Arabidopsis thaliana: one gene and its partners. The protein of the gene in region 2 interacts with the protein of the main gene of each other region in a pairwise test. Each region holds a gene or a part of one and is shown on either strand. Other genes may lie near its edges.

Region 1 (8,430 bases), on a different chromosome or scaffold from region 2:
GGGCTCAACCCTGTTTTAATTTTTTTAGGGCTTAAAAAGGGGTAGGGCTCACTTAGGGCTGAGCTTTAAATAAATAGGGCTGGGTTGGGCTGGGAAACCTTTTTTAACATCCCTAATGATGATGATAAGAGATGCGTTTTAAGCTTTTTGGGGAGTCTTTTTTTTTTGGTGGAATGAGGGAGACTATGTCTCCCATTTTATTAAAGAAAACTAAAAGAAATTACAATCTAACAAGTCGCAGGCATGAGAGCCCTCTAGCGTCATCCAGCATAATCGAATTAACAAAATCTGGCTTAGTATAAAAAAAATGAAAACCTAAAGGAAGAGAGAACGCATAGTTTGCTAACCCATCCGCAAGGCGGTTAGCCTCCCTATACACGTATGAAACTCGGATTATCCAGTCCTTTGAAATGAAGCCATAGCACAACCGTACTAGGAAAGACAGTGGATGTGCATCGCTAATCCCTGTCGTCAAAAAGCCCACCACAATCTCAGAATCCACCTCAAGCCTGACTCTCGGAGATCGTCGTTCCCAAGCCATGTATAACCTATAGTAAACACCCCATAGCTTTTCGGGGAGTCTTGGATAGAGTTAAAATCATCTATACCATTTCTCCTAAGCTTTTTGATGCAGTGGCGCAACATTAAACCCCAATCTCATTTTCTTCAGTCTGCAGTTTGGTTTATAAATAAACTATCTATCACTTGATTAATAAATTAATCAAAGATTTTTGTTGATAATTTGGGTTTAACTGGATAAAAGGGTTAAACCACCAGACTCTGTCAACAGTAGGGAATAAATATCATCTTTATCTTTTATGTTTTCATAATAAGTATGAGCAGCCTCAATACTCATATTACATTTTCAATTTTCAACAAAATTGTTAATAGGAGAAGACTAAGTATAATACTATTCAACAACTGTTCAATAAAACAAAAACTAGGAAACAAATGGATTCAACAAGTAAAGGATGATAAGAGTTGAAAACTCATATATATCTAACTATCTCTTTATTATTAAAAGGGAAGTACAAATTGAAATTTTGTCTAATTTGGCCTTAATTTAGATTTCAATTTTGGATTTTGTTCTTTGCTATTTAAAATCATTAAGGATAATTTGGTCTTAACAATCTCCTAAACTTTACATGATCCGATTCAATCTAAACCGTTCAATAAAATTAATTTCCTTCAATCTAAAATGTTCAACAAAAATAAGGAATCTATGTCGTTTTTGAAATCAAAGTATGATCACATTCCATCCCTGAAAATACTATATTCAATCACGAAATCAATAATCAATAATATTCAAATTATATATTACGATTCTTCACTAATCACTAGAAATTTATATTTATAAATTTAAGATATTAAATTTATTCAAATATTTAGTATAAGAACCAAATAAACCGATTGCCCGCGGTAAACTGCTGGTTAAAGTTATTATTATTTGAGAAGGACTTTGAATTTGATACATCTAACTATTGGCAAGTGGGGTTGGGAAAAAAAGAATAAGATAAGACAATAGGATTCGCTTGGGCCAGACCATATCCAAATGCAACGAATAAAGCAATATAGATATTAACGACACGTCACTACAAATATCACAAAGATATGAATTCGTCAAAAATAGGAAAAAGAAGATCCGACCTGCCGGAATCGAACCAGCGACCTAAAGATTATCTGTTTTAAACAACTACAGTCTTCCGCTCTACCAACTGAGCTAAGGTCGGATGATGATATGATTCAACACTAAATATATTTATACTATATCATAAAGTATTTGAAAACGTGGAATTTTTTATTTATTTGAACACGTGGAAAATTCAAGAAGGTGAAAGAGATATTTTTTGGTTTCAATGATTTGAAACTGTATGTGCATATGGAAAATTCAAGAAGGCCAAAGAGATATTTTTTGGATTTTGATGATTTTTCCAGCCATTAGAATTTAGAAACTATGTACATATATATATACCAAAAAGACAACTCTTCTATAGTTGGACCGTGGACGGTGCCAAAGTGTAAAACAGATTGTCCACTTTCGTGTCAATAACACAATTATTTGAAAACACCAATCAAACTTGTCATGGTTTTGCAAGTCCAAAAGACCAAAAGGCCCTATTCTTTGTCTACATAAAGCTCACATGCATCTCTCTCTCTCTCTCTCTCGTTCATAATGAGATATTAAGATCAACAAAAGGAAAGAATGGCAAAAGCTATGGAGCTTTGGGTGGGAGAGATGAAGAAGATGAGTGAGAAGATAAACACTAGAAATCCATTGATGCAAAGGAAGAATTCAACATCTGTTGTGTCCAAACAACAACAAGGATCAGAAGAAGAAAGAGGACTTATTAACCAAAAGATTAGAGAGAAAAATGAAGCTGTAACTATGTCTGAGCTCACTGTTTGTCTTCTCATGGACCGTTTTGTTCCTTGGTGATCTTTCCATACCCAACTACTTCTAGATCTCTTCTTTGGTGATGTGTATATATATATCTAGAAACTACATGTAGTATGTCTATATATCAGATTTTGTTTGTGCAGACCATGTTTTTAAGTTTCCTTGTAAACCTGTGAAAGTAATGTGTTTGAGAAACATATTTTTATTACTTTAATCAATAGTGTTCAATTATTATTAACCGGGATTTATATGAAGATGGAACTTTCTATTCACTCTGTAATTAGGAACATTCGCATCATTCAGTAAGAAATAAAACAAGAAATGATTATAATTTTTCTAATAACGTAGGAATTCTGAGGGAACCCAAAACTAAAATTTGATTGAAAGATTTTGAAGTGGCCAATCATGAATGAGATTGCTGGAAGATATCATCAATATTCAATACAGATAACGATTTTTTTTTTTTTTTATTGATACCAAATGAGCTTTCGGCTTTTGGCCCAGACGGAAACAACGGTTACAAAAGGTTTGGGCTTTGGGCTTTGGGCTTTTGATCCACATGACGATCATATAGTTCTTTCCTTCAACACAAAACACTTGAAGTGTATCTTATCAACTAAACTCTATTCCAGCAAAATTATTTCAAAATTAGATATATGGGAGAATTTTTACAGGCCATTCTAGATTTTCATTAACGCTGTGATTTATCCGTTAATAAGTACGATTAAGAGTAAAACGACGTCGTTTGCAATTGAAACAAAAATCCCCAATTCAGAAATAAGAAACCCTAGATCCTCAAATCTCTTCTTCTTTTCTTCTTCGAATTCACTCCTGTATTTTGAAATCAAAGTGAATTGCAAGGCACAAAGTTCATGCTTTAAAGCACTGCAAATGGCGAAGTCATGATTTATATGGCATTTTTCCTGTTTTTGTTTCAATTGCAAACGACGTCGTTTTGCTCTTAAACGGTCTCATTAACGGATAAATCACATCTTCTAATTGCTCTGTTTATTCAGTTGATGTTGTGACTAATTTGGCTCTGTCAACGAAAGTTAGTGATTTTATCTGAAGTCAACACGTAATTGATGATTTTAATCACAAAGTACAAAGTTTATGTTTAAAGCACCACAAATTGCGAAGTCGTGATTTAAATGACATTTTTCCCGTTCTGGTTAAACTAAGTTTCTATTATTTAATATGGATATTGTGGAGCGTAGTGTCAGCACTCAGCAGCTTATTTAACGTGATACTCTTTAACCGAGTAACAACTAGTGAGGTCATATTCAGGACCGATCCAACAATATTGAGGGTTTTACTCCAAGTAAAATTTTAGTTTTATTTTTAATTATCATAAACGACATAAATATAATATGGAAAGATCACAAATACTGATTAAAAACTAAAATCATCAAAACGAAAAAGAAAAAAGAAAAAATTGGGTTCAACTCTCATGAGTTATTAAACATTTTAGGTTTTAGGCTTAAATCTTTAAAAAAAATCAGAACTGAAAAACGAAAAATTCTAATTTTATTTTGGACTCTGATTCATAGCTTATGTCGCTTATGTAGTTATGCTAGGGATGAATCTGTATTTCGTTACCGTAATGAGAGTTCGATACTCTCTTACTTGTTACGATTCTGGAGCATGTTACATTTTTTTCTTTCCGTCAACAACAACTTTAATATGGTAAAACAAAATTTATTTTTATTTGGCTGGTCCTACTCAAGACAAATCTTCTGCCGACATCACATAATCATATTAAAAACCATAACTTCTGCCACTCTGTTTTTTTTTTTTTTTGTAACCATTAACTGATTGGATTTTGATCCATCTCATCTGATTTTTTAGCTCAACAATTTACTTGCACATTTTCTATTTGGTTTTATTTATACTTAGTTACATATATGATTATCGAACTAGTATCTCTTTATAATTAAGTATTTTTCTATTTTTTTTTAATTTAGATTTTTGTGAATTCATTTACAGTAGAAAACTGTAAAACCATATGGTCTAATTATAGAATGAAAACTTCAACGAATCCATACAACTTATTGGCTAAATATAATAAATCTGCTTGAAGCATATTGTTATTATTTAGTTGGATTTGACGATCTCTGACTTTAATGTATACCGACATACCCTATGATTTAGATGTTGATTTTTCCCATTCTTAATATATCCATGTTAAGAGATTCCACCATAACATATCTAATTATTTGCATTGTAATAAATATTATCATTAAAAAAAAATACAACTGGACAGCTGGCTCGTCCCATTGTTTCTTACGTCCACCAATTACATTTGTTAAAGCAAACTTATTAGAACGTTCATGTGTGAGAAGTTGGTGTCGACATGTGTCTAAGGTCTATGTCAGAAATCGGATTAGCTTATTAAGTAAACTATACTATATCATTGTTAATATAGATAAAATATCTAGTTCGTCCAAATTAAACTATTTTCATAACTGCCACGTGGCGTAAACGTATCCATCGAGTCACTTGTAATATCTTTATAACCAAAGTCTTCCAACACATTCATCACCATCTATCTACTCTTTACTCTCTTCTCTTCTCACATCAATTATTCATAGTTCTCTCTTCTCCGGCAAGAAAAGATGCCTATGAAGTCGTTGAGGAATGACCATGGAACCCTTAAGGCCATGATCGGATCCGATTTCAACGAGCTCACTATCGCTGCTAAGAACCTAGCTACACACGCCTTCACACTCACTGGTTTAGGCTTTGGTACCTCTGTCCTCGAATGGGTTGCTTCAATCGCCGCCATGTAACCATTCTCTCTGTTTCTATGTCTCTTTCCTCTATCCGTTTCTTGTGTTGATCTTGATGAGGTTTTGATGTAATAAATGCAGATACTTGTTGGTGTTGGATCGAACCAATTGGAAGACGAATATGCTCACATCACTTCTCATTCCTTACATCTTCTTCAGTCTTCCTTCCTTGATCTTTGGTATTTTCAGGTATAACACAACAAAAGCCAGAGACTTTTTCTTTACTTATCATTATGTTCCTAAACCCTAACTTGTGTCTGAAACTTTGACAGAGGAGAAATTGGTAAATGGATTGCTTTCGTAGCTGTTGTTGTACAACTCTTCTTTCCTAAACACGCCAGAGGTTTGTCTACTTTTTTTCATTCACTCTCCATTACAAGCAACAAGACTTTGATTCTGATTTGGCTTATCTCTGTTGTTTGTGTTATTAGAATACCTGGAATTACCGGTGGCTTTGGTTCTTCTCGCCGTGGTGGCACCAAATTTGATTGCTGGCACATTCAGAGACAGTTGGATTGGTTTAGCTATATGTTTAGGTATTGGATGTTACTTGCTTCAAGAACACATTAGAGCTTCAGGTGGATTCAGAAATGCATTTACTAAAGCCAATGGTATCTCCAACACCGTCGGGATCATCTGTCTCGTCGTCTTCCCCGTCTGGGCTCTTATCTTTTAAGTTAACTCTTCAGTTTCTTTTTCCATTTGTCTTTTTTTTTTCATGTAAGAGTGATTGCTTTGTACGATCTGTCTCTCCTCGTAACTCTATCAATGAATGTGATTTGAATAAGAATTGCTTCAGCAATAAGATATCATCATGAGGTGTTAGTGTGGAATAAATCTCCTCTTTCATCATTATAGCTTTAATGGGTAACGTTGTATCATCTTACAATGTGTACCACTTCTTACCGCTTTCTCGTACCACCACAAAACTTGTCCACATTGTGTCACCAATTGGTTTCTATGTGGTTTTGTCATCTTTGCTTCACCAGCTTACCAACGAAGCTCAACTTTTCTAGCTTTCTTCTTCTGCTCTTAGCTTGAGTGATTCAGCCATTTCTATGGCCAACAATGCTGATGTTTCCTCATCACCTACTATTCCATACCCGTCGATAAAAGCTCTATACGTCTCTTGACTCGGCTTAAATCCTTTCCCAACCATCTCAGCCTGAATGTTCAATGCTCTATCCATCTTCCCATCTTCACACAACCTCTTTACCAACAACTCATAACAATTCCGACTAGGATAAAACATTGCTTCTCTCACCGCATCCTTCACGATATCCGCAGCTTCAACAACTCTCTGTCCATCCCTATCATCACATAGCCCTTCAACTAACGCTTCAATTGTTAAACCATCTGCCTCAAAACCTTTCCTTTTCATCTCCCTATAAACAACCAAACCCGAATCAACATCCCCCGCTTTACAATACCCGTTAACAAGATGCTCATACGTCAAACAAGTACACTCAATCCCCTTCAACCCCATATCTCGAAAAAGCTCCTTCGCTTTCACAACTTCAAAGTTACTACAAAGCCCACCAATCATAGTGTTATAAGCCACAATATCATAAACCACTCCTCTCACCTTCATCTCTTCCCATACCTTCTCCGCTTCACTCATCAAACCTCGCGCACAATACGCCTCCATCAAAACATTATAGCTATAAACATTCGGAGAACATCCAACTTCCTCCTCCATTTCTCTCCATATCCTCTCCACCATCTCAGTCTCACCTTCTCTATAAAAACTCACCATCATCGAATTAAAAGTGGTCGCATTTGGCTTAATCTTACCTATCATCTTTTTAGCTTCATCAACACTAACATCATCTAAACCAAAAACTTCTCTATACATCTTATATCCATTAGAAGCACCTCTACGCCTAGAAACCTCTGTGATCAAAGCATTACAAGTACTAATCTGTGCATTGATTCCTCTAGACCTTAACTTTCTCATAACCATCACAGCTCCATCAATCTCTTTCGAATCAAGACAAGATTTTATCAACAAATCGAATACAAACGGAGCAGAGCCACATCGATTATAACTCTTAATCAACGAACGGAACACTTTCAAGACTCTGTCTTCGTCTTCGTCGGTGGCGGCGAGACGGAGAGCGAGACGTATGATTTCACTAGCGTGGCTTTTGAGACGAGATCGAGAGAGGATGTGGATGAGAGTTGAGCAGGAGTGTGTGTCGTGAGAGCAGAGAGAGTAACGGCGAGTGAAGAGGAAGAAACGGAGAGAGAGGTGAGGATTGTTGCGGAGGCAGAGAGTGATTTCGGAGAATTGAGAAGGTGTGAAGCCTGAAGGCTGGAGTGATCGGAGAGTGGACCAACGGGATTTGGAGCGGTGGTGTGTTAGGATTGAGACGGCGTCGGAAATTAGAGGATCTGATGGCGGAGACGGCGGAGAAGAGACGGTAGTGAGGAGAGAGATTGAGAGGATTGCATCGGGTTTGGGTTTCCGGGTCGGGTCGAGTATCCGTCTTAGTATTGAAGTTGACATTTTAAAAGTTTCTTTTACTTTCGAGTTGAACTCTCACAGTTTTATACTCTGGTTTGGAGAAAAACTGGGTAAAAAAATCTGACAAAACAGCCGATTCCTGCATAAACTTAGCTAACTATGAACTGAAAGAAACATATACGTGGGGTTATTGGCCCAAAGACATATATATGGTTCTCTTATGCAACTCCCGAGTACTCTCTTTCTTTGCATGGTTGATACATGATCGGATAGTATCAGAATTTTTCACATTGTTTGGGATTAAGATTTTTAAGTATTATATAAACGATGTCACAATTCTTAACTCTTGAGCTAGCTTTTGGGTTAAGTTAGGCCACATTTCTAATAGATAGACAATGTTTTTTGTTATAATGTTGAAGAGAGAAAAAATCACCTCTTCTTCTCTTTTTGATACTCATCGTAAATATGGCTTTTCTTACGCATAAATTTTGTGGGATTGACTTCCACACCAATTAGAATTAGGTTCTCTCTTCTCTACATAACTTAACTCTTACCTCCGATTAAACTCTTCCTCCTAAGGTATGTCTTCCAATCGACGATTTACCGCATTTGGAGGGAAAGAAACGCAAGGCGACATGGGGAAATAAAATCAACTCACAACCGGCTACTCAAGCTCATCGACAAGAACATAGAAATCGACTCAACTCAATACGTGAAACAATGGACAGAAACTACGACTACGGACGGATGGAGTGGCTCACCCTCAGCTCCATTCC
Region 2 (8,685 bases):
GTTTGAAGTTTTGAATCTTTTTGTCTTCTTACACAAAAGACATTCCCCTAAAAACTCTCTTGTTCTTGACTCACTTCTACTTCAAAATCTCTCTGTTCTTCAAAATTCTTTGTCACAAAATGGGTTGCTGTCTCAGCAAGAAACCTTCCCCTTCTCTTCCCTCTAGTGTTAAACCCTCAGATCCAATCAAACCCATGGAACCAGTGATTGAGCCTTTGGAGGAAGAAGCAAAACCCAAATCTGAGAAACTGAATCAAGAAGAAGAAGAAGAAGAAGTTGTGGTGATAAAACACACAAGAAGCCATGAAGAGAGATCCAAGAAGACAGAATCAGATAAAGATTCTCCAGTTTCTTCTCCTGTGGCGGCTGAGAAATCGAATTCTACACCGCTTGTGAGAATCTCTAGCTGTACTAAAGAAGAAGTTGATGCTATATTGATACAATGTGGGAAGCTAAGTAGAAGCAACTCTGCTGCTAAAACAAGAAGATACTCTGGTTCTAAAAGAAGCTTTGATTTTGACCAGAACGAGAGAATCCGCGGCGGCGATGCGGCGGAGGAAGACGGAATGCAGCGAAATCGTCACCGTGGAGTAGAGAGAGTGCATGGTTCGCCTCGTGAACGGAGAAGACGAACTCCGAGTAGAGAAAGAGAAAGATCGGGAAGCAGAGAAAGAGGAAATGTCGGCGGTGGCGGCGGTGGTAGTAGGAGAGTGAGTAGATCTCCGGCGAAACGTTCTGAGATTCGTAACGCTGATTCGTGTGGCAGTTCGGTAAATTCGAGTAATAATAGACCGGGAAAGTTTGTTACGATTCCTGCAACGGATAAGAGTAACAATGTAGAGCCGTTAGTAAAACGGATTACGGTTAAGAGAAACATCGGAGACGCTTGCAGAATAGCGGCGTCTCCGAGGTCAAAATCTCCGGCTAGAGCGGGGAATAATGTTCCCTCGCTAAGCCGGAGTAATTCAAGAAAGGCGGAACAATCTCCCTATAGAAGAAATCCATTGGGAGAGATTGATCAAAACACTAAGAAGATGATAGAATCTGTGAAACCTAATTCAAGAACAAGTAGAGGTCCAAGCCCGAGTCGTGTTGCTGTTGTAGAACTTACGAAAGCTCCTCAAGTTGTGTTAAGCAGAAGCAGATCGTTGAGGAAATCTCGAGATTTCGATTTGGTATCAAACGAGGATAACAATTACACTGCATTGTTGTTGAAAGATATTCAGAGTTTTCATGGGAAGAGTGTTGATGATAGCGTGATTTCGCTGCCATTGTGTGTTAGTAAAGCTTGTTCAATTGTTGAAGCAGTGGCTGATCTTAACTCTATGACGAACAGAACTTGTTTGAGGTCTGATTCGAGCCGGTTTAGATTCACATCGACGGTGAAGAAAGCCGATCTTATGGAACCGAGTTTTGAGAAGTATGTGACTGTGAAGAGAGGTGGTGGTTCGTTGGAGGAATCATCTGGTAGCAACAATGTTACGTGACTAGGGAGATTCACTTTTAGCAATAACAGAAACTCGTGTTGTTGCGGTTTAATATGGAGAAATTGTTGTTTTGTTTGTCTATTGTTGTTTCCTTTGTTTGGTTTATTTTGTAATTCAGATGTCAATTTGACAATTTCAATGAATCTTCTTCTTATCTTCAGTCTGGCATAAAACCCAAAAAACCTGTATCGGACCCGAAACCAAACCAAATAATCATATAACCGGAGAGACTTTTAAATAATTTTACACGAATTATCCCAACTGAACCCGAACAGAAACAAAAACCAAACAGTATATCTGAAAAATCGAAACAATATCTACATATTCAAAATTATTAGATGTTTTAAATTATAATTATACCTTAACCAATTAACAAAAATATCCAAAAATATCTTAGATATATTATATATATCCAAAATATCCGAAAATTCTTAGTATTATACCTAAACTAAATGACAAAATTATATATTTTTTGTAATTCAATTTTTATTAAAATTTTGAAAAAATATGTAGTTTTTTCCAAAAACCGAACCAAATAATCATAGAACCCAAATATATACTAAATTTTTGTATCGGATGAATCCAAAAAATCTAAACTGAATCCGATCTGAACCCCGAACCATGCATACTTGGTGGATTAAACAGTTCGGTTCAGGTGAAAATTTTCAGAATTGTCGGTTTCGGATAAAATAACTAAACCGGATAAAATGTTCGGTTCGGTTTGAGTATTTCTTTTAACATTTCGTAGTTAAAAGCAACATCCAAAAGCAAAAACACACGCCGGAGAGTTTTCTAAGAACAACAGTGACGAAAAGGTTTTTAGGGTTTCTTTACCAATCAGAATCTCCGCCAAGTAACGATTTTCAGATTCCGAAGCAGCAAAGGTTAGAGCTTTTCCCTCATACGTTTCTTCTTCTGAATTCCTTGAAACCCTCCGGTGAACCAGAACCTGTTTTACATTCGTTTTCTATTCGGTGGTTTCTTTTAATTTAGGTCAAATTACACTGGAATTATCATTTGTTTCTCGTAATTCTGGATTTATGTTAAGTTTGGTGAAATCTCTCGTTGAGATGGATACGAAATCTATTAATTTTTCATTGTTATCCGTAAGCACACCAAGTGTTCGATGAAATTCCTAGTCTAATTTTTAGTAACCTTTCAGTTCAAATAATTTCCGAACTGTAACATGGCGGCAACTACTGGACTTGAGACTCTCGTCGATCGTAAGTTAGTCTTTTTTTTTGCCATTCTCGATTGATATGTGATGTTCTGTCACATGAATTGTCTAAAGATCTTATCTTTTGATTGGTTGCTGCAGAGATTATTTCGGTGATTACAAATGACGGACGCAACATTGTGGTATGTTATACTCTCTTGTGTGATATCTGGTTTAGAACTCCTTATGTCAATGCAAGTATCTTAGTAAAGAGATCGATTTTTATATTTTTTCAGGGAGTTCTTAAAGGTTTTGACCAGGCTACAAATATAATCCTTGATGAATCTCATGAACGTGTGTTTTCCACAAAGGTTAGCTTCTGATTCCTGTTTTAAAGTATTTTCATCTGAACTTTTCGATGTTACTAAATTGAATGGGTGCAAATACATTTTTCTGCAAGTAAATTGGCCAGTGTATGACCTGCAAAACCTTGTTGGTTTGTATCCATGAGTGGCTATGATGTAGCAGAGTTCTCGATGTCTCCATATTTTGTTTGTAGTGATCGCATAAAACTAGAAAAATAGAGGTACTATAAGGATGCTAGTTTATCTTTTGTTCATTGTCACTCAAAGCATCTTTCGTCGTCTGGTATTGATCTTTTAATTGGTACTACGTTCTTGCTAATAATGTACATTGCTTGATTTAGTTGCGTAGTGTCATCTTTTCAACAGAATATTGAGGAAACTTACTCAGATATTTAAGATAGGCCTTGTCCTACAGTTCTTTGTTTGGTAAGAGAATAGTGAATCATGAACTAACTGGCCTCTGAATGGAAGTATCTAAATCAGATAGTGTTGGATACACCGAAACAGATTTAGTGTTAGTATTCTTCGAGTGTTATAACTGATTGAAAAAATCTTGTGAGTTCATATGTCAAAAGATTTAGCTAGTGATAGGTAAGTCAAATACGTAGATATTGGCAGTGTGTAATTAATTATACATGATCACCTCCTTTTTTTCGTAAGAGGGTTAAAGGTTTGATTCATGTCTGTTTTCTTGTTTACACTAAGAGTATGTCAGGTCATGTTGATACTTCATTAGACAAATGTTCTTGGATATTTTTGGTGTGAAGGCAGAGTTCTGTTAAAATGATGGATATTGGAATTAGGATTGAGACCTCTTACTATGTCTTCATCTTTGCAGGAAGGAGTACAACAACATGTGTTGGGTTTGTACATCATCAGAGGGGACAACATGTAATTCTTATCATCCATCATCATCAGTGATTTTCTAACATTGCAATTGTTTTTTTGTTTCAATAAAAAAAATGGTGTCATCTTTGATCAGAGGTGTTATCGGGGAGCTGGACGAGGAGCTTGATGCTAGTCTGGATTTTTCGAAGCTGAGAGCCCATCCGTTGAAACCCGTAGTGCATTGATTGAATATAGTTATGGTGAGAAAATCTAATTCTCTCATTCAAAGCCTAAAAACAAAGAGAAGATTTGATTGTAAACAATTTGGATAGTTTGTTTTGATGTCTGGAGTTGTCTTATTTGTGTATCCTAAGGACAAAAGCTATATGATATTTTATGTCTTAAACGTTTTGGTCGGAAACTTAAATCATACAATCTTTTGGACGGACCTAGGTTTGCTACTAGACCACAAATTCTTTGATTAGAAAAAAAACTTTTATTGTTAACCAAAATTTTATAGATATTCAAATTGCAAAAGAAAAAAAAAAGAGGAATTAGTTTCTGGTATCTTACAAATTATAATGTCGTTGCAATTTCATCTAGAAGGATTATATACATCATCAAATCTATCAACATCAACAAATGGCCGTATTTAAAACTTAGAAGCATCATACATTTTCTATAAGACAACAATATAGATATTAACTTAATATGTCATTCTCCCATAGTCGCATCATACAAGTCGTTGGTTTTGGTAATAACTCGCCAAAACCAAACACTTCTGATTTCATCGGAGTCTTGGGTCTTCTTTTACGATTCCAATGTAATATTCTTCATATTAAGTGATTTATTTCTTGAAATTTTTCATAGTAAGTGTTATCAGAAGCTTTTGATTTTTGGTTATTAATATGAAGAACAAAAGAATTGCGTTCTAAAAATTTTTCGTTGATAACGATTAATATTAAACAGAAACACTACAAATAAATTAACATCGTTGGGGCCTAGGGATTTCGAATGGAATTTTATTTGCAAAAAAAATAATAAAATAAAGCATGTTAACAAAAAAGTAAAAGAAAAAAAATTCATGACGAAATGCATGAGAACACTGCTGCATAAGTCTTAGGGGATTAGGTCAACAAAAGTAAAGTAGATCTTCATCAAATGTATTTTGACTTTATAATGTACCTATTAGTCAAACTATATGCGATCTAAATATTAAAAACTTGTATTTTCTCAAAGACAATGCGAGGCGTAAATATATGAAATTTTATTTTGTAGATTAAGTACCATTTATATATGAAATATAAATAAATCAAGAAGAGTAAACATGAAAGAGCAAAAGAGTAAATAGAAAAAATTATAGGAAATAAAAAGAAACAAATAGTAATTGGAAAATATCTTAAGTGGATATAACTTTTAGTTGTTTGATAATGTATAGGACTACAATATATGTATTTTCCAAAAAGTCATCCTAATTTTTCCATCTATATTGCAAGTAATTTGATACCTACTAATGATTTTTATTTTTTTTATTTGATGGGTTCACATCAAACTCAATTTCCATAAAAGACCGCTACCTAAGCAGACACGCAAATTCACATTACACGTGTGATGTGTTGTATGGAAGCGAATGTACTTGTTTTTCATAATCTATAGGTTCATATAGAGAAGTCTCTCCATTGAAAAGTTCTTCCCTCTTGACTTTAAAAACTCCATAAGGTCCCTACTTATATTAATTTCCCAAACCCCTAAATAAGATCTACAAACAAAGCTTCTTCTTCTTCTTGGTGTCATCAAGATTTTCCAAAAATGTCTCAACACCAAAAAATCTATCCGGTCCAAGATCCAGAAGCCGCAACAGCGCGTCCAACAGCTCCTTTGGTTCCTCGTGGTTCCTCTAGATCAGAACATGGAGACCCATCCAAAGTCCCTTTGAACCAAAGGCCACAACGGTTCGTGCCGTTGGCTCCTCCAAAGAAGAGAAGAAGTTGTTGTTGCAGATGCTTTTGCTACACGTTCTGCTTTCTTTTGCTTCTTGTCGTTGCAGTAGGCGCATCCATTGGTATACTATACCTTGTCTTTAAACCGAAGCTACCGGATTACTCTATTGACCGGTTACAGCTCACCCGGTTTGCACTGAACCAAGACTCGAGTTTGACTACGGCTTTTAACGTGACTATAACCGCTAAGAATCCGAACGAGAAGATTGGAATTTATTATGAAGATGGGAGCAAGATTACCGTGTGGTACATGGAACATCAACTAAGCAATGGTACGTCACTTTTGGTTTACTCCGGTTTGCTTTCTTTTGGTTTTTTAACGTAGGAAGGCTTCAAAATCTCACTACAAAACCGGTTTATTTGGTTGATTTCTGTTCTTTTCCTTTGGTTTGGTTCGTACACAAGGAAGACTTTAAAACTCTTTTCAAATTAGGGATGTCTAAATTTTTTTGGTTGGCTTTGGGTTTACTTTCATTTTGGATTAGGATTGTCAAATACTGTATATCTTTAGTTTCAAACAAAATTTGGTTTAGATAGTTTTTGTTCGGTTCATATTCAATAGTTCGGATATAATAGAGTTAATTCATTCAAATCAATCGTTTTTGGTAGAGTTGGATCATACCGGTTTATCCGGACTGAAAACCCCAAAACTAAACATATTTATTTATGTTGTTTGGTTTTCTTGTTTGATTATAATTCGTTTACACCATTTCAAACCGGGTCTTCTTATAGATTTAACTTCATTGAACTTTTGTGATTTTTTTGAATAGGGTCGTTGCCAAAATTTTACCAAGGACATGAAAATACGACAGTGATATACGTAGAAATGACTGGTCAAACACAAAATGCATCGGGTTTAAGGACGACATTAGAAGAGCAACAACAAAGAACCGGGAATATACCATTGAGAATTAGAGTAAACCAACCGGTTCGGGTCAAATTTGGGAAGTTGAAGCTCTTCGAAGTAAGATTCTTGGTCAGATGTGGTGTATTTGTTGATAGCTTGGCTACCAATAATGTTATTAAGATTCAAAGTAGTAGTTGCAAATTTCGTCTTAGGTTATAGATCCGTTTTTTTTTATATAATTAATATCGAGATATACAGAGGGAATTTTGTCAGATATAGTCACATACTCATATATAGTTCTCCTCTAAAGTACATTATTGTGTCTCAGACCTTTGTTGTATAATAAACTGTTGGTTTAAATTAATATATTAAAGTATACAATACTATGTACATAGGTGGAATTCAAAGTATAGTAGTTGTAAGTTTTTAAAACCAGAGCATGTCCACCACTCCACCTTACCTTCTTTTAAGCAAACAATTGGTTGAAGGTAGACTCCAAAATTCAGTTTTAACTACTTACAACTTAAATTGGAGGTAACTCCAAGATCTTAGTTATGAATTCAAATTTGCATTAGATTTACTTGTTCCAACAATTACTTCTGGTATTCTAAAGCAAAGACCAAACTCAATAAATAAACCTTATGGTAAGACATTCCAAGCAACATGAAAGAGATAATAAAGAGACATAGATATATAGAACAAACTGAATTTTTGCGAGAAGAGAGAGACATGTAGAAAAGAAACGCTAAAAGAACTTACACAAAGAAGATTCATGTACTTAACTTGTGACAGTCCTCTGTAACAATTTGAGAACTATCCTCATGAAGTAAGGTCCTGAATCAAAAGTACAAAGAAACAAATTCCTAGTTCAAGTTATATACCAAACCGAAGTCTTTGTAGTTGTACAACCAGTTTCAGGAGGAAGGCTACCTTTGAAAGGTATTGTAACACTGGCTAGAGAATGAGCATAATGTCGATAATTTTTCTTTTGATGAAAAAAGATTTAGAGAATGGCAAAAAATATAATATATGCGCTCATATTGGTGGTAAGTCATATATCTTTCTATTATTCGTTACTATATCATAAGCTTTGTATATTATTTGGCCAAAAAAAAAAAGATTTGTATATTGTAGTTTGACTAGAGAAAAACAATGAAATGTGTCGGATTTCAAATTTGACAAAGAAAACTCTACTTAAAGTTCACAACTGAACGGTAAGTTTCATTAGGTTTCCAATTCGCCGGAATAACATTATAAGCTAGGACTACTTTATGAGATTCAGCAGAAGTAAGTCTGATGTTGAATGGTCCTGTTAGAGGACTGCCAGAGCTGATCTTCCATACAGCAGACCTCATTTCTTGCATGGGGATGAATTCTCCGTCGGCTGGTTGAATTTCTATATAGGCCAAATCTCCATCACCGTTTTCATACTCGACAACAAATGAAATGTAGTACGGATTTGCTCCAGGGTCCATACGGAAAGCTATGTTAGTTCTTCGATATAAACATTCCACGCTGATCAAAAAACAATAGTCAATATTTTGATTCGTATATCATAGAAAATAGTTGAATTTTAATTAAATAATATTTCTGTAAAGATAATAACAAAAATGAAAACATTGATTTCTTTGATTTATCAAAAAAAAAAAATTCAACTCAAAACCTAGATATACATACTAAAAGGAAAAATTTTAAAACAAAAATTATGTAAGTATATAAGTACCGTCTGTAGTAAACACGTAGAACACCAGCCGATCGAAGTCGATCGCCTTGGCCAGGTCTGGCTAAGGCACCCATGGCTTTGCCGCTAAGATCAAAGTGGGCTGGTTCAGAGGCACAAGGACCACCAGGGCATTCGTCGGTTATCGTCACCGTTATTGGTCTCCTCGAGCATGCTGGATGCCCATTGCATAGAATCTGATAAATAAAAATGTTAACATATACTATATAGTTGATGAAAGTAAAATCTTGTTGTAACCATATAACATACATTCAGATCTTG
Region 3 (8,510 bases), 6.2 Mb from region 2:
TTAAAACCCATTGGATCCAAACTCTTACTTGAGTATTCCAGAAATATTCCAATTCTCATGTTATTTCACCTCAAGAGAACCATATACATGCAGACATTTAGATACTTGGGAATTATCAGAATAAAATTTGCAAATACTACCCAGACTTAAACATATAATAACGTTAATCAAATAGAATCTAGCTTATCAAGACTCAACACAGGACAAAAATGATAAAACAAAGTTTTATAATTTAAAGTCGGGCATAAATAAATGATTTCCAAATTTAATGTTGGAAAAGTGATAGTCCCTATACACAAGCATCTTAGGGTTGGAGGAGGTATGGGCCAATGGCACAATCAGCACTCAAGTCTCATTTGAAGAAAAAAAAAACTAAAAAGAAGAAACCCCACTTTCTTAGAAAAATAGTATTAGATAAAATACTCAGTCCCCACAGTAATCAGTAAGCATCTCGAGCTATATTTAAGACAACTTTGAATTCCTCAGAACTTAAGAAGCAATAACCAAAGAAAGCCAACAAAGCATAGAGAAGCGACTTTGACCTTAAGCTTTCTCAAAGAGTAAAAATGTCTGCAAATGAGTTACCTTCTTCAGCTCAAGCCTTCCAAGAACAATTCCTTGGCGGTTTTGTCTCTAGAAAGCTGCTTCTGCACAACCCATTTGACCACAACACTCAACGAGCCTTTGCGGTTGCACCATCTCCTCTCATAACCCATGAGAACAACCTCAGTGGGAATGTTATGATGCTTCTCTCAATCCTCATTTGTGGCATTATCTGCTGCCTCGGGTTACATTACATCATTCGTTGTGCACTCAGACGTTCTACACGTTTCATGATCTCCGAGCCTGTACCAAGTCTTTCGTCAACACGGGGTTCATCAAACAAAGGAATCAAGAAGAAAGCTCTTAGAATGTTCCCAGTTGTGAGTTACTCACCTGAGATGAACCTGCCAGGGCTTGACGAAGAGTGTGTCATTTGTTTGTCTGATTTTGTTTCCGGTGAACAGCTCAGGCTGCTCCCCAAGTGTAACCACGGGTTCCATGTTCGTTGCATAGACAAGTGGCTTCAACAACATCTGACTTGTCCAAAATGCAGAAACTGTCTGGTTGAGACGTGCCAAAAGATATTAGGTGACTTCAGTCAAGCTGATTCAGTTACGGCAGAACCAACAGAGATCGTAATTGTCACGATTGTTCCTCTAGAACCAACAGAGATCGTAATTGTCACGATTGCTCCTCTAGAACCAACAGAGATCGTTATTGTCATGATTGCTCCGCTAGAACCTGAAGGAAGAGTAAACACTATTAGAGAAATCAGCTAGATGCAAAGAAAGACAGAAACCATCAGCAATTCAGAATTTGTACTTCTAATTTTTTTATGACTTTCTTTTTACCTGTAGCACAAAGTGTATACAGAGTGATTATGTTTCATTTTCAGTAGCATCTCATGAGTCCATCAAACTTCCTTTGTAAAACTATTTTTACGGTGGAATGTGAATTTTGCAATCTTATCCAAAAACATCAAGATTCATCTGATAACCAAAGATTGATAAGTGCTGGTCGTATATTCTTATGTGTCATATCAGTACACTGAACCAAAACGTCACTAGACAGAATAAATGGTTTCCCAATAACTAATGCCAAGAGTTAGTTGTGTGAAGAAGCAGTGTGTAGTCTACCATATGGAATTATGGTCCAGACCTGGTCCCATGTACTCTTGATAATGACAAAAGCACAAAGTTTGTGAAACAAAATTACATCTATCTACATGAATCAACCCACTTAATAATTAATCTATATGCCTCAAAACCGATCCACACGCATAAGTCATCAAAATAGCAATTACCATGAACAAGACAAAAAAGATAAAAAGATATTAGTAAGAACTATGAACAAATAGATATTTACTTGACAGAAAGAAATTATTAAGTAGGGAGAATGATCAAATAAATATTTACTTTACAGATATTTAGTAGGAAGAATGACCAAAAAGATATTTTATAGATATTTAGCAGGAACTAAGAACAAATATATATTTAATCAAAAGTTCACCAAAAGATGAACACTGAGAAATGGCGCCAAAGAGTAAATGATTAAAGAATAGGTTCCACCAAAGAAAGTCAATAATGGTACATAAATGATTAAAAGACAGGACTAAAGCTCTGTGTTTCAGTATTTCAACTTTCTAGCCAAAGAGAACTATAATTAAAATGTTTCTGAAACTTTTCTTATGGCTCTTAACACCCACTGGATCCAAAACCATTTCCAAATCATAAATGCATCCAGCAAAAATGTTCTCAGAAATATTTCAAATTCTCACCAAGTTGCGTTATTTCACCTTAAGTCGTGTCGTGTGATTTCACCTCGATATGTTGGTAACATTTCACTTCCATCATTCAAAAAAAAAAACGGTGAATGACCAATTTTAGTTTGGATGATCTTTCTGTCTGTTCAGATTTCTCATCTTCATCCATGTTACCCCTGCAGTTTTAAAGTGAATGAGTATCAAATTAAGATATTCCCAACAAACGAATCATTATAGCATATAACACAACAAAAGTAAAGTTTATTTGCTTTAAAGAAGGTACCAAGAAAACAGACCACTATATATATTTGTACCAGTTATATGTAACCTAATGGCACAGACAAAAGAAAAAAGGAATCCATTTCCGAGTGAGACTGGTGAGAAAAGATAGAAAAGATGCATCTCCTACTGTGTAACATCAACTTTTTATCCCAAAGATACACAATCTTCCCTAATCTAATGTTTCACTAAACCAGCTATTAGGAAAGTAGCAAGAAACAATGTTATACAAAAGCACATATCAAAGAATCTTGCTTTGATTTTGGAGCTACAAGAAAAACATTAGATACTAGATTCATGTAGATTTCCCTCGCAATTTGCAACCAATGGAAGAAGATATCTCATAAAGCAAACAAAAAGAATCATTTTTTATTCGTTCATCCGTGGGACCAATTCCTTTACCTCTGATTTAAAACAAAGGCATGTAAAGATAAAGAGAGAGAGAGAAACTGTTTACTGAAAAAAAAGCAGGAGGTGGATACTAATGCTATGAGAGTGATAAAAGTAGCCTTTAACAAGATTGATTGGGAGAGGCTTTGTCCTTTTGGCTACTCTATGGACAACTTGAGTTACTACGAATGGGGTGGATTCCTGTTCCCCAAACATAAGTAGAGTTCACTAAATGGAAATATTTCATCCGTACACTCTCAAAACCGCACAAAATCAACAAAACTTTTAAGATTCCACCACTGTTAAAAAATAGCAAAAAGGGAAAGAAAAGAAAAGTTAAATCAAACCTTGCTTTATATATGAGAAACTCCTTTACAGGTTAGACACATATGTGATATATCACTGGGTCAGAACTATCTACCGAAACTCGGTTTTCATCAAGACCATAAGTAGAAAACATATATTATAAGCCCTAACAGGCTAATATCAAGGAACAGTGAGATATCAGTAAAATGAGCCAGGAGATATTAATATTTGAATGCTGCTATATCAAAGATAGGGAAAGTTCATGGCTGCTCCAGTTAAAAAGCTCATGGGTCCCTAGAAGCAATTCTGGGAGATATGATTTGCTAAGGCCACAGCCACATGGCACTACTATTGCAGCAACTGGTATGATGGACCCATTTTATATAACAAAGCATATTACGCTGCAAATGATTTTATAAAATTAGACACTAAAGGTAAAGGTCCATAATGTGAGCTTGATCTTTATAGCTTCTTATTCATCCAACCATAAGTTTTTCTAAATGAAATATATAAAAAAAAATTCCTCATTAAATATCTGAAAAAAAATTGAAACTTTACCTTTCCTCTATATAAACAATTAGCCTCCAAACCTTTACTCTATATAAACAACCTCCAACGGAAACACAGAAAGCCACCAATCTATCTTAAAACTAAGTTATCATGTGCACTACCATTTCCATTTCCATTTCCACCATAAAACCAACTGAGATCTTTCAAGAAATTCTTGGAAGTTCTTACTCAAGAAAATTACTATTTCATACCCATGATCAATCACCAACTCCAGCACCATCCCCATATGTAGGCGATAACAACTTTGATGCAAATGTTGTTATGGTCCTATCAGTCCTCTTATGTGCACTTGTTTGCTCACTTGGACTCAATTCTATAATAAGATGTGCCTTGAGGTGCTCCAATTTAGTACCATCTGAAGCTGGTGGTGACAACTATCCTGTTCGCTTGACCAACACAGGAGTCAAACGAAAAGCCTTGAAGAGTTTCCAGACAGTAAGTTACTCTACTGAACTAAATCTGCCTGGCTTAGATACCGAGTGTGCTATCTGTCTCTCGGAATTTGTAGCCGAGGAACGTGTGAAGCTGTTGCCGACATGCCACCATGGATTCCATGTCCGTTGTATAGACAAGTGGCTTAGTTCACACTCGTCCTGTCCCACCTGCAGGCACTGCCTCATCCAGACATGCGAGAAGATTGCCGACTGCAGCCAAACAAGCTCGTTAAACTCTACTCAACCACCACAAGACAGCATCATTCTCCAAATAGCACCACTAGAACCGGAAAGATGGATACGCTGGTTTAGGTGAACTAGAACTAGTCACCTAGATATTTGTAGCAGCTATGATTAAACTACTATGTTTTAGAATTATTTGAGATTACAAGCGGTCTACACTTAAAAACAAGTTTAGCATTTCAACTGTAAAGTTGTAAATATTACGAGAATGTTACTTTCTTCATATCTTGAACTACTAAATGTTTATATTTCACAGTTACAAGCCAATAAAGGAAAATTTCATTAGATCTGCAAATACTCACACTGGAAAACAAAACATAAACAATTCAAAAATCAAATGTACAGGATGATGAGAAGGAAAATCACTGAAAGGCTTAAAGCAATAGTTTAGTGGAGGTGGCCAATACACTTAGTCAACTAAAGAGAGATGTCATAATCTTTACCATTATGAAGTTTCAAGGTTATTAAAGTCAGGCTCTGCCACTAGCTTATTTTACTGATTATCATAAGGGTTACTACACTTTTATATAAATCATACAATAACATAATGTACCCTTCCAGAGGTAGAAGAGTCTTCTTGCTTTGTTATTGAACAAATTAAGTTGTAGGCTGTGACAATGCGAAGCCCCGGAGAAAAATGTCAAGGCCCACAAATGAGAGAAACATGCAATAATATAATCCATCGAAAGGAGAACAAGAGAGAGAGGTCACCACCATAAGAAACAGCACAAAGCGAATGGGGTCCGAGGACGAATCCCACCATATGGTCAAATCAAATAATACTAAAAGGGGAGGTTCAATGTTATACTGACCACATGAAGAAAATGAGTGACCACAATAATTCAACAACCGGCATTTACCAAGATCAATTTCATAGATAATGGATTATGAAGAGCTGCAATATCAATTACTTAGAAGTAGAACTTTAAAAAAAGCAGTACGTGTAACAGTACTTTACTGACTAGCTAAAGAGAGATCCTTAGTAGTAATCTAGAAACTCCCATCAATATGGTCACTAATCTCCAAATAAAGAAATTGATAAACAAGTTATGAGGTGGACGAACGAAATTGTAAACCCTAGATACCAAAATGGGGAAACTTTGCATCAACCAAATGAGATTATCTTCTGAACTAATTACGTATCGGGATTAAACAATGAACAAGAAGAAGTAAACAAGAGTACATGAAATTGAAAAAATCAAGTTTCGCTCCAATCAAATTGACAATAAGGAGACAAAGATACGAAGTTCAAATGAAGCTGTACGAAAATACCCAGAAAACTATGTGAAAAATGGGGAATTTTCTTACCGTATTCGTTGATGAAGATCTGCTGAAGACGACGAAGTAGCAATGTTCAGAGATTGTTCGCTTTGTTGGCGCCAATGATTTTCAGAAATTCTCTCTTGAAACCAATATCGGATCTTCCATAGTTTCCACTCGGGTCGGCTTTTAACGGGCCCATTTATATAAAGCCCATTTAGCATTTTTCCTAAATCGGGTGTTTTTCTTATATCAAAATAGAAAGGGATTTTTTAAAATATCTCTTTGTTGGTTATAGTTTATAAACATTTGGTTTAACAAGTTATAATGAATGTGGTGAGCCACTCATTACAAGAAATTATTTACAACCACATGAGAAAAGAAAAAAACACATAGGCTATTAATGGAGGCAGCGGACAAAACGGTCTAATTTATCTGCGGTTTAGTCCATTTCATTTTTGGGATGGATAATAAACCGTTGCGGAGCAAGTTTATTTGTATGTAAAAATAGTTCGCAGATGGTCCGCTGCGGGTTTTTTCTTTTTTTTTTTGTTTGGACCACTGCGGACTATAATTGATGAATGAAAAATAAAAAGCGGTTTGATCCATTGACGGTTGTGTCCGCCCCAACCGCCGTAACCATTCACAACCCATGTTGTAAAACCAAGAATAACAAAAAAGATTGTTAATTGACTTTTTCCGATATTATATCAAAACGTGGCCGGTCATATAACTTATATATATGTATTATTATATATCAATGGAGTGTCAGTTTAATATAGTCATGATCATGAGTAATGTAGTTTCATAATGATGGGGCACAACGTTCTTAAGGGTAGTACTACCAACTCAATTTTCTCTCGGCATGTGCTGTACACATGGTTCATAAAGTTGACTTTTGGATTTCCATCTCACAACAGCTATTTCTTTTCCGGTTTTCTACCGGTTTGCTCCGGTTAGTGGACCAACGTTAAAAGTTTAGTTATGACAGTTTCTTGGGTTCTACACATCTTTTGATTTCTATTTACCCTCGTAACAAAAATAGAAGATTTTGTAGTTTTCTTTTAATGGTACCTACCTCATGTGGATTGTAACTACCTTTTGTTGGATTCATTATTGTAGGTACATATATTTGTGGTTTATATCCATCCACTCTCTTATATAGATCAAAAATATATAACTAAAAAATAAATTTTATCCCCAAAATGTAATTTAACCGAATATTTGATTATTTTCTAATCCGATTTTTAAATTATATTTGAATAATTTTGGTTCTTCGGTTAGATTCGGGTAGTTTAATTTTGGCTAGGTTATCGATGGAAACTAGTTTAAATTTGGTAAAAAACGGTATAATTGTGGTATAATCTGGTTATAAACAACATATAATTTAGTTAACTGATAAGTGATAACTGAACTAAAGCAAAATACTTGGTTAATTGAAGTAAAATTCAAATTTAACCAATCTGTTAAGGACATGTAACTTTTCAAAGCGAACAGCTAAAATCTTGGTTCGGCCCAATTTGGTTATTTCAGATCGGTTATTCATCCCATGGCTAATCTGTACTAGATGGTCAGAATGGTAAAGACTCCAAGAAAGAGGCTGGTAAAGATAAAAACCAAACGTTACATAAGTGATGACAAGCAACAAAGTTACAAAGAGGTGGTCTTAGGGTTCTTTGGACTCTCCACATAAGTGGTAATGTTGCATGACACCTCAATTAATCTTTTAACTAAAAACATAAATAATTGGTAGCTACAATACAAAAGTTCCCATCTCTTAAAATTCAATTCAATTTTGTTACACAATGAAGAGCTGAGGTGAGCTGTTGTACATATATAATTGCAAACTTTTATAATATTGTAGTGGACTAGTGGGTACTTTACCCAAAAAAAGAAAAAGGAAAAATGTAGTGGATGTGTCTCAAAGCCAAGACAAATTACGAGATATAGCTAACAAGTACTGCCTCGTATATCTGATGTGTACCTCTTTGTCCTGTATTAACTAATTAACTTTATATTCGAAATGAATGCATAATTTTAAAATACGACGATTATTTATGTTGTATCTGTTGGTAATTTTTTTTTTTTGTTATACCTAATAATTTAACCCGTGTTTGTAATTAATACGAATAACTACGACATTAGGCTTTTGGGTTGTCAGGAAACTTGTTGGTTTATGGTCGATTTGCAGCATACCAAACAAGTTTTAGTTAAGCAGTATTATTGGGAAGTTACTTCATTAAGAGACTAAAACCATTCTTGTCTCTCTATGGTTCATCTTCTTTTGTCCATAAAAGGACGATTTGAGAAAGATATAAAAGATATCTTTGTAAACATTACAAAGAGAAAAAAAATTAAAGAAAGAAAACGTTTTAAAGAGAGAGAATTTAGAGAGATCAATAGGAAGTCAAAGTGACCTTGAGCGGTGGTTTGGGATTAATTTTCGTTCGTGCTCTTAACTGATGTTTACATCACTTCCCATATAATTTCATATCAAAGTTATCACTAAACCGGCCAAAATATATGTTCCGTTTGAACGCTTCCGCATAAAAAAAAATAACATATGATAATTTTACCATTGTTTATGATTTTTTTAATTACAAATGTTTGATTTTCTTTTTTTTATATAGAAAAAAAGTGTAATAAAATTTAGGGTGAATTGCAAAAATGACGTTTTTAGGAGATGAAATAAAGAATATAGCACTACAAATCTATAATGTAGT

The links.
Region 1: the proteins of AT1G65690 (region 2) and COR413-PM1 interact in a protein complementation assay, tested with the Arabidopsis thaliana proteins (one large-scale study listed by BioGRID).
Region 3: the proteins of AT1G65690 (region 2) and AT1G49230 interact in a protein complementation assay, tested with the Arabidopsis thaliana proteins (one large-scale study listed by BioGRID).

Annotation. Positions count from the first base shown.
Region 1 is NC_003071.7:6,945,150-6,953,579, forward strand, and holds COR413-PM1 (cold regulated 413 plasma membrane 1), read left to right. Parts: upstream 1-4,701; 5' UTR 4,702-5,013; coding exon 5,014-5,183; intron 5,184-5,268; coding exon 5,269-5,376; intron 5,377-5,459; coding exon 5,460-5,530; intron 5,531-5,618; coding exon 5,619-5,863; 3' UTR 5,864-5,876; coding exon of another isoform or gene 5,877-5,911; 3' UTR 5,912-6,043; downstream 6,044-8,430. Other genes in the region: AT2G15960 (stress-induced protein), read left to right, coding at 2,204-2,437; AT2G15980 (Tetratricopeptide repeat (TPR)-like superfamily protein), read right to left, coding at 6,200-7,696.
Region 2 is NC_003070.9:24,429,859-24,438,543, reverse strand, and holds AT1G65690 (Late embryogenesis abundant (LEA) hydroxyproline-rich glycoprotein family), read left to right. Parts: upstream 1-5,378; 5' UTR 5,379-5,645; coding exon 5,646-6,108; intron 6,109-6,606; coding exon 6,607-6,902; 3' UTR 6,903-7,127; downstream 7,128-8,685. Other genes in the region: AT1G65710 (serine/arginine repetitive matrix-like protein), read left to right, coding at 120-1,487; LSM8 (Small nuclear ribonucleoprotein family protein), read left to right, coding at 2,674-2,710, 2,806-2,846, 2,940-3,014, 3,358-3,434, 3,716-3,767, 3,847-3,899, 3,991-4,081; EXPB6 (beta expansin 6), read right to left, coding at 7,874-8,198, 8,407-8,600. UniProt on the Arabidopsis thaliana protein: Plays an important role in the abiotic stresses-induced abscisic acid (ABA) signaling and biosynthesis. Acts as a positive regulator of ABA-mediated seed germination inhibition. Functions downstream of ABF2/AREB1, ABF4/AREB2 and ABF3.
Region 3 is NC_003070.9:18,205,380-18,213,889, forward strand, and holds AT1G49230 (RING/U-box superfamily protein), read left to right. Parts: upstream 1-3,814; 5' UTR 3,815-3,940; coding exon 3,941-4,600; 3' UTR 4,601-4,798; downstream 4,799-8,510. Other genes in the region: AT1G49220 (RING/U-box superfamily protein), read left to right, coding at 567-1,322; AT1G49225 (uncharacterized protein), read right to left, coding at 933-1,076, 1,160-1,284, 2,411-2,481, 3,239-3,273, 3,766-3,768.